3 linked regions of the Saccharomyces cerevisiae S288C genome follow. The protein of the gene in region 3 interacts with the protein of the main gene of each other region in a biochemical or structural test. Each region holds a gene or a part of one and is shown on either strand. Other genes may lie near its edges. The genes, in order: HSP104, URE2 and CPR7.

Region 1 (4,978 bases), on a different chromosome or scaffold from region 3:
AAGTGATTATTAATATTACATGAACTGCTATGGTAAAAATTTAAACGTGCAGTTCAGATAGTACTGAAGTCTAAGTTAAAGATATACTAATTTTAACATGATTTGGTAGTCATATATATGAGTCATATGAGTCGCTACATTCAAATGTACAGTAACTATCAAAACCATTATTGTAGTACCCGTATTCTAATAATGGACCAATCCGCGTGTGTTTTATACTTCTAATATGAAAGTAAAGAGGTCCAGATTTAACCTTCACTTATTACTTCCTTTAAACTTTAGTTATCAACGCCATATGTCCCAAATACAATAAAAAAAGATTTGACGTCCAGTGGACTTTTTTGTCCATTGTTTACTTTTAGATTATTCACAGCAAGATGAACTAAACGTTAAAATGTGAGCTCTTTTGCTCGGGTGTCAAGTTCAATTAAACAAATTCCATTAGTTTTATTAATTATATATATTATATTACTGATTCTTGTTCGAAAGTTTTTAAAAATCACACTATATTAAATTAATCTAGGTCATCATCAATTTCCATACTGTCCTCATTATCGTCATCACCTAACGTGTCAGCCCCTATAGTAGCTTCGTGATTTGGTAGAACTTCCAGACATTCTTCAGCTTCCTCAGGAACATTTTCATCACGAGATTTACCCTTCTTCAAGACGACATTGACAGTTTCCTTATCCTTGATTTCATTCTTTAAGATCCTTAGTGCCAGTTTGTTCAAAATTTCGTTTTGAATTAACCTGTTCAGTGGACGTGCACCCATATCATCGGAATAACCATATTTGGCCAAGAAGTCCTTGGCCTCTTGAGTTAAATTCAACTTGTAATGTTTATCATTTTGCTCGAATCTCTCTTCAATTTCCTTCAAACGAATATCCACGATCTTATGAATAGCTTTTCTAGATAGCTTGTTGAAAATGACTATACTAGAAATTCTGTTCAAAAATTCTGGTCTGAAATGTTGCCTAACAGCACCCATGACCAAATTCTTGGTAGATTCTTGGATCTTTGATCCTTGTTGAGAATTGATAAATTCAGCACCTAGATTGGAAGTCATGATGACAATACAATTGGAACAGTCGATCGTCTTACCTTGACCAGAAGTAATTCTACCGTCATCCAACATTTGTAGCATGACAGTCAAAACATCAGGATGTGCCTTTTCTACTTCATCGAATAACAAAACGGAGTATGGTTTGTATTGCAGTTGGTTAGTTAAAAAGCCACCTTCATCGTACCCGACATAACCTGCCGTGGTACCCAACAACTTAGAGACCGCATACTTCTCGCTTAATTCAGAACAATCGACCCTGATCATCATGTCCTCATCATTAAACAAAAATCCAGCAACTTTTTTAGCCAATTCAGTTTTACCGGAACCGGACAAACCTAAAAATAAGAAGGATGCTGGTTGCCTTGGATTAGCTAAACCTGATCTAGACAATCTAACGGCATTGGAAACAGCTTTAATGGCATCCATTTGGCCCACGACTTCAGATGATAAGTCACGTTCCATATGAATCAATTTTTCATTTTCAGATTCTGACAACTTCTTAACAGGGATACCAGTCAATCTTGCAGCTGTTTCAGAAATGGTGTCTGAATCGACCACATTTTGGATCATGGAGTTGGCACCAGCACGTCTCTCTTCCTCAGCAACCTGATCTTCAAGCTTTTCGATTTGCTTTTTGATATCTGGGATGGCGAAGTACCTTAAATCAGCGGCGGTAGCAGTATCATATCTACGTTCAGCATCAAGGGCCTTGTTTTCCAGTTCATCCAATTTCTTTTTAGCTTGTGTCAATTCTTCATGGCCATGCTTTTCTTCATTGTAACGTTGTCTTAGAGGTTCCAATTCTTCTTGCAATGAAGCTTCCTTCTGCCTAGCTAACTTTAATCTATCTTTAGTGGTGGAGTCGGCATCTTCATCTCTCTCTAGAGCTTTTATCTCTACTTGAATCAATTGCAATTGACGTTCCTTGGAATCCAATTCTTCTGGCTTAGAATCTCTTGCGACGGCGACACCAGCACAAGAAATATCAACTAAATCCAAAGCAGAATCTGGCAATCTTCTATATGGCAAGTAACGCTTGGCTAATTGAGCAGCAGTGACTAAGGCGCTATCCAGAATCCTTACACCATGATGTATTTCATACTTTGGTTGCAGACCTCTCAATATGGCCACTGTTTGTCTCACACTTGGTTCAGCGACTTCAATTTTCTGGAATCTTCTTTCAAAGGCACCATCCTTTTCCACAATAGATCTATATTCGTTATTGGTGGTGGCACCGATGACCTTCAATTGGCCTCTGGACAAAGCTGGCTTCAAGATGTTAGCAGCGTCGTCCTTACCATTACCCATTAACATGTGAATTTCATCAATGAATAACACAATTAGAGTCTTTGATTCTTCGATTTCCTTCAAAACACCTTTGAATCTTTCTTCGAAATCACCTTTGTATTTAGCACCTGCGGTTAATGCGGCCAAATCTAGACTGAACAATTTAGCGCCTTGTAAGATAGTGGGAACGTCATCGTCAATGATTCTTTGAGCAACACCTTCAATAATAGCGGTCTTACCGATACCTGGCTCACCAATTAAACATGGGTTGGACTTAATTCTTCTTGCTAAAACTCTAATAGTGCTTCTTATTTCTTCTTCACGGCCGATGACAGGGTCAAGTTTACCTTGACGAGCCTGCTCAGTCATATCAATGGCGTACTTTGATAAATATTCCAAAGGTGTGTTCGTATCAGCGCCACGAGAGTCAATTCTAGTGTTACCACGAAGTTCAAGAGCTTGTTGCTTGATGGCCTCAATATCTACTTGAGCTTCCTTAAATATTTGCTGAATAGACGAATCATTGAATAGAGCAAACAATATATGGTCTTGCGCTATAAATGAGTCCTTCTGTTGTTTTTGAATCTTAGCAGCGTCTTGAAGGACTTTCCCCAAAGCATAACTTGGAGTTATCTCCGCAGGTGCAGGTTGCTGTTGAGGAATTCTTACTAGATTTCTATTAACCACTTTCTTGAAAAGATCATAGTCGTAACGGCCCTTCTCAATTAGATTCTGTAGGTAAGGGACTGATCCATCTTCTGGCGTTTCAATGAAGGCAGCTAGAATATGTATAGGTTGTAATTGTGGATGTTGATGATCCGAAGCCAATTTTTGAGCCAACGTCAAAATCGTTAGAGCCCTTTCTGTAAATTGCGTTTGGTCGTTCATATATTCTGTATATTTTATGGTACGTGTAGTTGATTTCTTTTTTCTTTGTTATTGCTGATTCGATTCAAGGGTAAAAAGGAACAAGTGACAAAGGAACGAATTATGAAGGAATTGAGGCAAGATTACAATGCCTTATATAATAATCTGGCAGGTTGCATAAGTTTGCGCCCCTTTGCCTTTTACTGTGATATAATTTGCAGTTCTTTGAGATGGGCCCCCTGTTGAAAATTGAACAAAAAAATCGCGGCCCCTTATGGAACGTTTAAGATTGTAATTAATAACCCTTCTAGAAAATTCTGGAAAAATATATATCTACAAGAACAACGAAAGAAAAGTTAGGAACAGCAAACACTACCACGATGGAGGGTTCAATGTTAATATGTATGATAAATATGTAAATAAATAAGTAAATGAATAAATAAGTGAATAGGTAGATTCTTTTTTTCTAAAAATGGTGCAGAAGGTTTTTAAACCATGAAACTCTCGCCACAACCGCATGTGCCCTTGGAGTTTGGATTCTTGAAGACAAACTTAGAGGCCAACTTGTCGTCGATCCAGTCCATTTCACTTCCAATGATGCTGAATAACGCCTTTGAATCGATGACAATTTTAACGCCATCTTGTTCTACTACCTCATCGAATTTCCCCGGCTCGGTGATATATTGTAGATCGTACGTTAGTCCTGAACATCCACGGTTTCTAGCGCTAACTCTAATCAATTTAGGTTCCGGCTGAGCTAGCAGTGCCCTTAAATGCTTGATTGCCTTCGGACTCAGGGTGATCAGCGCCTTTCTTGGTCTCAATTTCCTCTTTCTTTTCTTGGGAGGTTCTGTGCAAGAGCAGTCATTCTTGGATACTGCAGCAGCTATTTGCTCGTCTATAGCTTTATTCTGCTTCTTGATGGCCTCCTCATGAGATTTGATGGTCTCACGCGAAGGGAATGCGTAGCTCGACCACTTCGGGCTTTTAGAAGCCTTGCTACTCTTGCTCTGATTGGAAACTATGAATTTGAAGGGCTTCTTACCTGGACGTTGACTATCTGGAGAGACAGAGTCTGCAGCTGCGGGCACTGTCTTCGGTATGAATTTTAATTTGAAAGGATTTACGTTGTTGATTGTGCGAGACATTGTGCCATTCGTACCGCCTCGCCAAAATCCTCCAGTTGAAAGGAATCTGTGTGCCAGCAGTACTGAATTCCTGCTTCTTCCTGTGTTTATCATTATGTTACGTTATTGTTCCGATCGTTTGTTATACTACCAAATCAAAAAAATCTAAAATGGTCTTTCGTACGAGTGCAAAAATGGTGGCCAAATGTATAAATAAATAAATAAGACGAGTAAAATAATGTCAATAAATAACAGTTTCTTAGTAATTCTAAAGGATTTACAAATATTTGCAAAATTCCATTACTCTTCCTTGCTTTCCTGTCCTCTTTCCCTTTCCTTTATGAATTAAAAGCATCTCAATCTCTTTCCTTTATTCCGTTGAAATTCCCTGTCAATTTTAATCCAAAATAAAGAAGTCATTAAACGGGCATTTACCGGGTGACTGTTATCTGACCAATGAAATCTGAGGGTATGACTAATAAGCCCCCGCCCGAGTTTCGGCCAAGGGTACGGACAACGCCGAGAACCGGCGATGAGAAGAACAATAGCTTTTATCTATTTCTTATTAGAGAGGGATTATTAATCATTAATTAGTGTTTTATTTAGTAACTATGGGCTATACATAACAACC
Region 2 (3,317 bases), on a different chromosome or scaffold from region 3:
ACCATAGTTCATCATCGTCAAATATCAATAGTACGTTGCTTTTCTCAAGTTTTAATAGTTGTGGTATTTTTACTTTCTGCAGTATCCTCTTTAATAAGTGATAGGGGACATTACTCACAGATTGTATGTTTGAATGATTTCTCATCAATGAGATTTCACATAGTGTTTGTAAACTTTTCATATCTCGACATCAATCGATTTATACATTCACTAGAACGTATTTCCATGAACAAAAACCGTTTGCATGTAAGTTACATATGTATCTAATCGTCATAACTGAACAAATCCCTTCTTCGCAAATATTAAATATTTGAAATTTTCTATTGTGATCTTTCTTAAGCCCATCGTGGCAAATGCCGAGAAAAATACGCAATTGTACCAGCTTTATTGAAAGCGCCAGATATACAGTGACAACACCCCGAATATAGTTGAGAAATTTATAGTATTTCAATTATTACATAAAACAAAATTTTGGAATTCTGTGGTTGGGGTAACAAAGAATAAATAGAAGCAACAGAAATTTCAAAACTATTATATACTTCTATGACATTTTTGTTTATATTTGCACTTAATTTTCCTTTTTGTCTGCCTATATACATACCCTTATAACCTTCTTTTCCTCCTTCTTCTTTCTTTCTTGTTTTTAAAGCAGCCTTCATTCACCACGCAATGCCTTGATGACCGCGGGTCTTCTCATCATATGCTTCGTCCATTTGTAAACTTCTGGAAATTCAATTTTGATATTAATGCCAATTCTATCCACGACATTATTCCATGGGACAAAGGCCAAATCTGCTATAGTTAATTTATCTCCTACAAGCCATACGGGATAATCAAAGAAACGACTTTGTGACATTGGTGTTGTACCAGCTGAGTATGCAGCCGCATTTTCCGTGTCTAATTCCATCACCAGCGCTTCTCTACGTTCAGCCAAGGCCATCTCCACTACACCGTAAACTCTTCTAACCTCATCCGTATATCTTTCTACAGCACTTGCTATCTTTTGTGAATGGAAGTATCTGAAATGTAAAGCTTGTCCAATCATTGGCGCATGCCCTGACGTTTGGAAGAACAACCATGCGTTGATTTGTGATTGGTCAGCTAAATCATCGGACCAGAGTAATGGATTACCAGTCTCTTTGTAATATTTATTTACCAAATGTAATAAAATCGCCCCTGATTCCCAAATAGACAAGTTGTCCATACCATGATCGATTAAAGCTGGAACTCTTGCATTAGGGTTCACAGACACAAATTCGGGGGCCCTATGTTCGCCAAGATTGAAATCTAGGAAGATTGTGTTATAATGAAATCCAAGTTCACTTAGTACTATAGCAACTTTGAATCCATTAGGCGCAGACCTGTGAGAGAAAAGGGTATATCCCTCCAGTGGTTGTTCTTGAAAAAATTTTGTAATTCTGGAATACTCCACGTGACTCATATCCGAAAATGCCTGTTGTTGTTGTCGATGTTGTTCTAAGGTATTCTTGATATTATTCTCGTTATCATTATTTTGGCTACCATTGCGGCCGCTGTTATTGTTTTGAACATTATTGTTATTACTACTGCTATTGTTATTATTATTATTATTTACACCTGTTGAAAATTCAAAATTTATATTACTTTGATCGGTGGTTGTATTACTGTTCCTGTTTCCTATGTTTACTTGACGGAGCGCATTGGAGAGATTCGACACTTGGTTGCCGTTGTTATTCATCATTTGGTGTACAACTTAATTTGCAGCTTAAAACAATATGACTAATAACAAAAAATGAAAAACTAAAAATAAAGAAGTTCGTACGGGGGATCTTTATTCCTCTTCGATTCAATTCAGTGCTATAAACAATTCCAAATGAGCTGTTTGAAAAGGAAAGATTTTTGCTATTCTTTTCAACCTCGAGTAAGGAAGCTTTCGTCTTTGTATAGTTGCTTTTCTGGCCTAGTAGAAAGGAAAACTACATGCTGAAGCCACTCTTCCTCAAAAATTCAATAGTGGCAGCTCATCAATCCTCCTATTCGGCGAGAATTGAAAAAAAAATTCCAGGCTGCGTCACCCGGATTAATGTTGTTATTCCAGACAACAGTCGGTATTCATTTTCCACATTGACTACAGTTAAATTAAACTCTACACAGCTCTACTAATAATTTCTGTTTCGGCGTTCTATGGTTTGGTGTCACTATATTCTTTTGGTCTTGACTTTCTTTCTTTTCACTACGTTTTTCACTGCCGCATGCCCTGCTATCTTCACGTGGTTGAATAGCTTATTTCGACTATCAAATGATTCTCCGCATGTAGTGCACACCTCGATCGCGGAGGTTGGAGACATAGAGGACGGTAGAGTCGACAAGGACGGAGTGCTTTTTGTGGATTTAGAATTCTTTTTAGGTTGTTTGCCCTTTTTCTTTTTCGCTTTAGTAGACCAATCTTCATCGTCATCCGTTTGTAAGCCCTTGTCTCCTAGTGATGCCAAAAGATCATCCAACTCATTACTCCGTTTGTCTTTAGTATCATCGAACGATTCAGATTCCTCTGTTTCTGTGTCAACCTTTGCTTTTTTTTTCTTTTTTCTTTTCTTTTTATTCTTCGTATTCACATGTACATTTTCATCCGAACTGACGTCTTCTACCTCTATATCCATTTCTATGTTGAGATTGTCATCTTCACTTTCGTCTTCAGAAGACGATTCTGCCAGTTTTCTTTCAATTTCAGCGAGTTCAGCTTGCAATGCTTGCAGATCAATATCTTCTTTTTCTTTAACACTTTCATCTGCTGAATCAAATTTCTCGAGATCGGAGAGATTATCCAACCCAAGCGTTATGTTTTCCTCTTCCATTTCTTTCCGTATCTCTTCCATATTTTTCTTATGCAGTTTAGTGTTTATGTGGTTTTTCAATTGCTTTTCCGACTTAAATGTCTTGTTGCAGATAAAACACTCGTAAATCAATACTTCACCTTCCTTATCATTCTTAGAATTTTCGAATTCTCCAAAATTATCATATACCTTTTCCAGTTCATCCCAGTTTTCTTCTTTTACCGTTTGCCAGCTTTGTAAATGAAATTTTTCTTCGTCATTGTTGTCGTTCCCAAACTTTCTTCTGTTATTTAACTCATTTTTCCTCTGTTGTTCTTTTAGTTTACGCTGTTCTTCTGCAATTTTTGCACCTTCTTTCATTCTTTTATCGAGCTTTTTTATGAAAACTACAAACCTTTTCACGGTTTTGTTGTATTCATTTCGAGCTTGTTGCCTAGCCTTCTCATTTCTTCTATTAACTTCCCTCTTGGTTCTTCTGTCATAGTTTTTAGAGTACATGTACTC
Region 3 (3,436 bases):
ATTGGCGCCATGGCGTCTGAACCAATTTCTACTGCTAGGATGAGGCCCAGTCTTTTTGATAAGTTTGGCTCGCCAAGTGCTTCAGATATAGAGTCACCTAATCCAAAGTTACCAAATAGCTTATTAGACGACTTCTTGCAACCACCACCAAATAGCACTTCTTCAAATTCCCTCGCTCAAAGTTCTTCTTCTGCACCTAGAAGTATACTGGATGAGTTCGTCTCTCCTTCATATTCTCAGCATAAAGAGAATTTAACTCCAAAAGCGCCAAACGACTCTGTGGGTGAAACAGACAACTCAGAAAATAGGAAAGATAAACTCTCTAAGGACATATTAGATGATCTTTCATCACAAAAGCCACAGAAGCCAAAAAAATCTGCTATTACCAAGAACTTACTAGATGACTTTGTATGATATCATATTTTTTATCAAATAAATGGATTTATAAATAAAAATAATTACATCTTATTAATGTAGTGTTTTCATATTGGGTTATTTAATCTCAAATTTCAGCCTTACAAGTAACTAATTAGGAGAAAAACTTTGATATATTCTTTCTTGTCTTTTCCTTATTCTCTTCTATGAGCCTATTGACATATTCTATTCTTTGTTCTATAACTTCGTCATCGGGATTTTTCTCTTTACAAAAAATATAATCTTGTAAAGCTTCGTCTAGTCTCTTTTTTTTTAAGTAACTGTTACCTCTTCTATAATAAGCCTTTGCTTGATCTCTGTTAGGAACGTTATCCATCTCCAATAAATACGTAGCATACATGATAGCATCATCGTATCTTTCCAGATTAAAGAGCACCAAAGATAAATTTAGGTAAATTTTCATCTTTAGGTTAATAAATTGGATGTTTCTTTCTTTGTCTACGTCGGGTTCAGGCATGTATTCATTGATATAATTTAAAGATTTTCTGTATTTGAAAAAGGCATTAGAGTAATCCTTTTTCTTAAATAAGAGCGTCCCAGATTCTTTGATTATATTAGCAGCCTCAAGAGCCTTACCAAAATCATCGTCACCGAAATGTGTATCATCGTCTGGATATTCTTCGTATACGTCACCGCCAATTTGGTCATTAGAAGCGTTGTAAAGCGGGACACCCATAGTTTTTTCCCACACTCCACAGTCGCTGATTCTAACGTCTGATTCAGGGACTCCATCAGAATCTACCCTGCAGTTTTCTATAGTGCGAACCACTGATTTTCCATGAACCACCTGCCCAAAAATAGAATGCTTGCCGTTCAAATGAGGTGCGGCGTATGTAGTTATGAAAAACTGGGAATTGTTCGTATTTGGAGAACCTAAATTGGCCATACCTAAGGTAAAGGGTTCTACAAACTCTCCCAAGTTTTCGTCTTCAAAATTCCCGTAACAGAAAGATTCATCATCGGTTTTCACTTCCTCTTTATCAGCGTAAATTGAACATCCACCTTTTCCAACAGACGATGAAGAGGAATCCTTTTGTGTCCCAAAGACAATGTCACCTGCCTGGATCATAAAATTCTTAACGACTCTATGAAAACCATTTCCCTTATAGCTCAGGTACTGTTGATCCTTCAAAGGACTCTTAACATCACCAGCGCATAACTTATAAAAATTCTCTGTTGTTTTAGGAGCCTTCTCACGAAAAAGTTTGCAGACAATACGACCAATTGGTTTTTTATCAATGGAGATGTCTAAATATACAAGGGGATCTTGAATCATCGCGTTGGATGTAGGTTGTTGCTGCCGAACACCTTTCAGAATAACGACTTTTTTTTTCTTTGCAGTTTCTCATTTTTATGATTTTCTAATCACTTCATCACTCAGCGCATTGGAAAAAAAACAATATATAGATCTCTTTGTTTACATGTTGGAACTAAGACCTTTTAATATGGATACTTTACACAGAGAATTGAACCATCTTAGTTAAGTTAATTCGCAACTTTGGTAAGAAGCGCCCAGGTTTAACTAATACGGCTTCATATACAAAATGCACGACGTGCCAATGGAAACTGTTTTGGCCGTGAACCCAGCTACGATGATTGTCAAAGAGTGCATCAATCTTTGTTCTGCCATGAACAAGCAGTCCAGAGATAAATCACAAACAAGTGTGGCCGCGTTGCTGGGCGGAGGTAGTGATATATTCTTGAGTCAAAGTGATTCGTTTGTTGACAGCTTCCACAATTTGCCTACTTCTAGCTATCATGATCCTCTGATATCTGGTTTAGTACAGCTGCGGCTAAAAATTAACGACTTGAAGGGTTTAGATTCATTAAACGCCTTGGAACTTTTGAAACCATTTTTAGAAATAGTCAGCGCTAGTTCAGTATCGGGTTATACTACTTCTCTGGCTCTGGACTCGTTGCAGAAAGTTTTTACACTAAAAATCATAAACAAAACATTTAATGATATTCAAATTGCCGTTAGGGAAACCGTTGTTGCGCTTACACATTGTAGATTTGAAGCTTCAAAGCAAATTTCGGACGACTCTGTTTTATTAAAAGTTGTAACATTACTACGCGATATTATAACCTCTTCCTTTGGAGACTATCTCTCCGATACTATAATCTACGATGTTTTACAAACGACACTTTCCTTGGCATGTAATACGCAGAGAAGCGAGGTTTTGAGGAAAACGGCTGAAGTTACAATTGCAGGGATAACCGTTAAACTATTTACAAAGTTGAAGTTACTAGATCCACCTACAAAAACAGAAAAATATATCAATGATGAAAGTTACACCGACAATAATTTGAAGGATGACATTATAGGTACGACTACCTCTGATAACGATTTGAGTAGCACTGATGATGACAGTGCTGTTGCAGACGATAATAAAAATGAGAAGCCAGTCCAACAGGTCATAAGGGAACAGGAAAATGATGAGGAAACGGCTGAGAAAGCCGAAAATGTCGAGCCAAATTACGGAATAACAGTTATAAAGGATTATCTTGGATTATTGTTATCACTGGTTATGCCAGAGAATAGAATGAAGCACACAACTTCGGCCATGAAATTATCTCTACAGTTAATCAATGCAGCCATTGAAATATCCGGTGACAAATTTCCTCTATATCCCCGGTTATTCAGCTTAATTTCTGATCCAATATTTAAAAGTGTTTTATTCATTATACAAAGTTCTACCCAGTATTCTCTTTTGCAAGCAACTTTACAATTATTCACGAGTTTGGTTGTGATATTGGGTGATTATTTGCCTATGCAGATTGAACTGACTTTAAGGAGAATATTCGAAATTCTAGAGGATACCACAATCAGTGGTGACGTTAGTAAGCAAAAACCACCTGCAATCAGGGAATTAATTATTGAACAACTTTCAATACTGTGGATTCACTCTCCCGCTTTCTTTTTGCAACTTTTTGTAAATTTCGATTGTAATTTGGATAGGTCGGATCTTTCGATTGACTTTATAAAAGAGCTAACTAAATT

Evidence for each region.
Region 1: the proteins of CPR7 (region 3) and HSP104 form a complex in vitro, tested with the Saccharomyces cerevisiae proteins (one study listed by BioGRID).
Region 2: the proteins of CPR7 (region 3) and URE2 form a complex in vitro, tested with the Saccharomyces cerevisiae proteins (one study listed by BioGRID).

What each region holds. Positions count from the first base shown.
Region 1 is NC_001144.5:86,886-91,863, reverse strand, and holds HSP104 (chaperone ATPase HSP104), read right to left. Parts: upstream 3,242-4,978; coding exon 515-3,241; downstream 1-514. Other genes in the region: Fe-binding Fe/S cluster assembly protein ISA1, read right to left, coding at 3,709-4,461. UniProt on the Saccharomyces cerevisiae protein: Required, in concert with Hsp40 (YDJ1) and Hsp70 (SSA1) and small Hsps (HSP26), for the dissociation, resolubilization and refolding of aggregates of damaged proteins after heat or other environmental stresses.
Region 2 is NC_001146.8:218,482-221,798, forward strand, and holds URE2 (glutathione peroxidase), read right to left. Parts: upstream 1,721-3,317; coding exon 656-1,720; downstream 1-655. Other genes in the region: ELA1 (elongin A), read right to left, coding at 1-181; JJJ1 (Jjj1p), read right to left, coding at 2,178-3,317. UniProt on the Saccharomyces cerevisiae protein: Plays an important role in nitrogen catabolite repression. Down-regulates the expression of many genes involved in nitrogen utilization by inhibiting the GATA transcriptional activators GLN3 and GAT1.
Region 3 is NC_001142.9:489,356-492,791, reverse strand, and holds CPR7 (peptidylprolyl isomerase CPR7), read right to left. Parts: upstream 1,712-3,436; coding exon 530-1,711; downstream 1-529. Other genes in the region: RAV1 (Rav1p), read left to right, coding at 1-414; Arf family guanine nucleotide exchange factor GEA1, read left to right, coding at 1,980-3,436. UniProt on the Saccharomyces cerevisiae protein: PPIases accelerate the folding of proteins. It catalyzes the cis-trans isomerization of proline imidic peptide bonds in oligopeptides. Plays a major role in negative regulation of the heat shock transcription factor (HSF).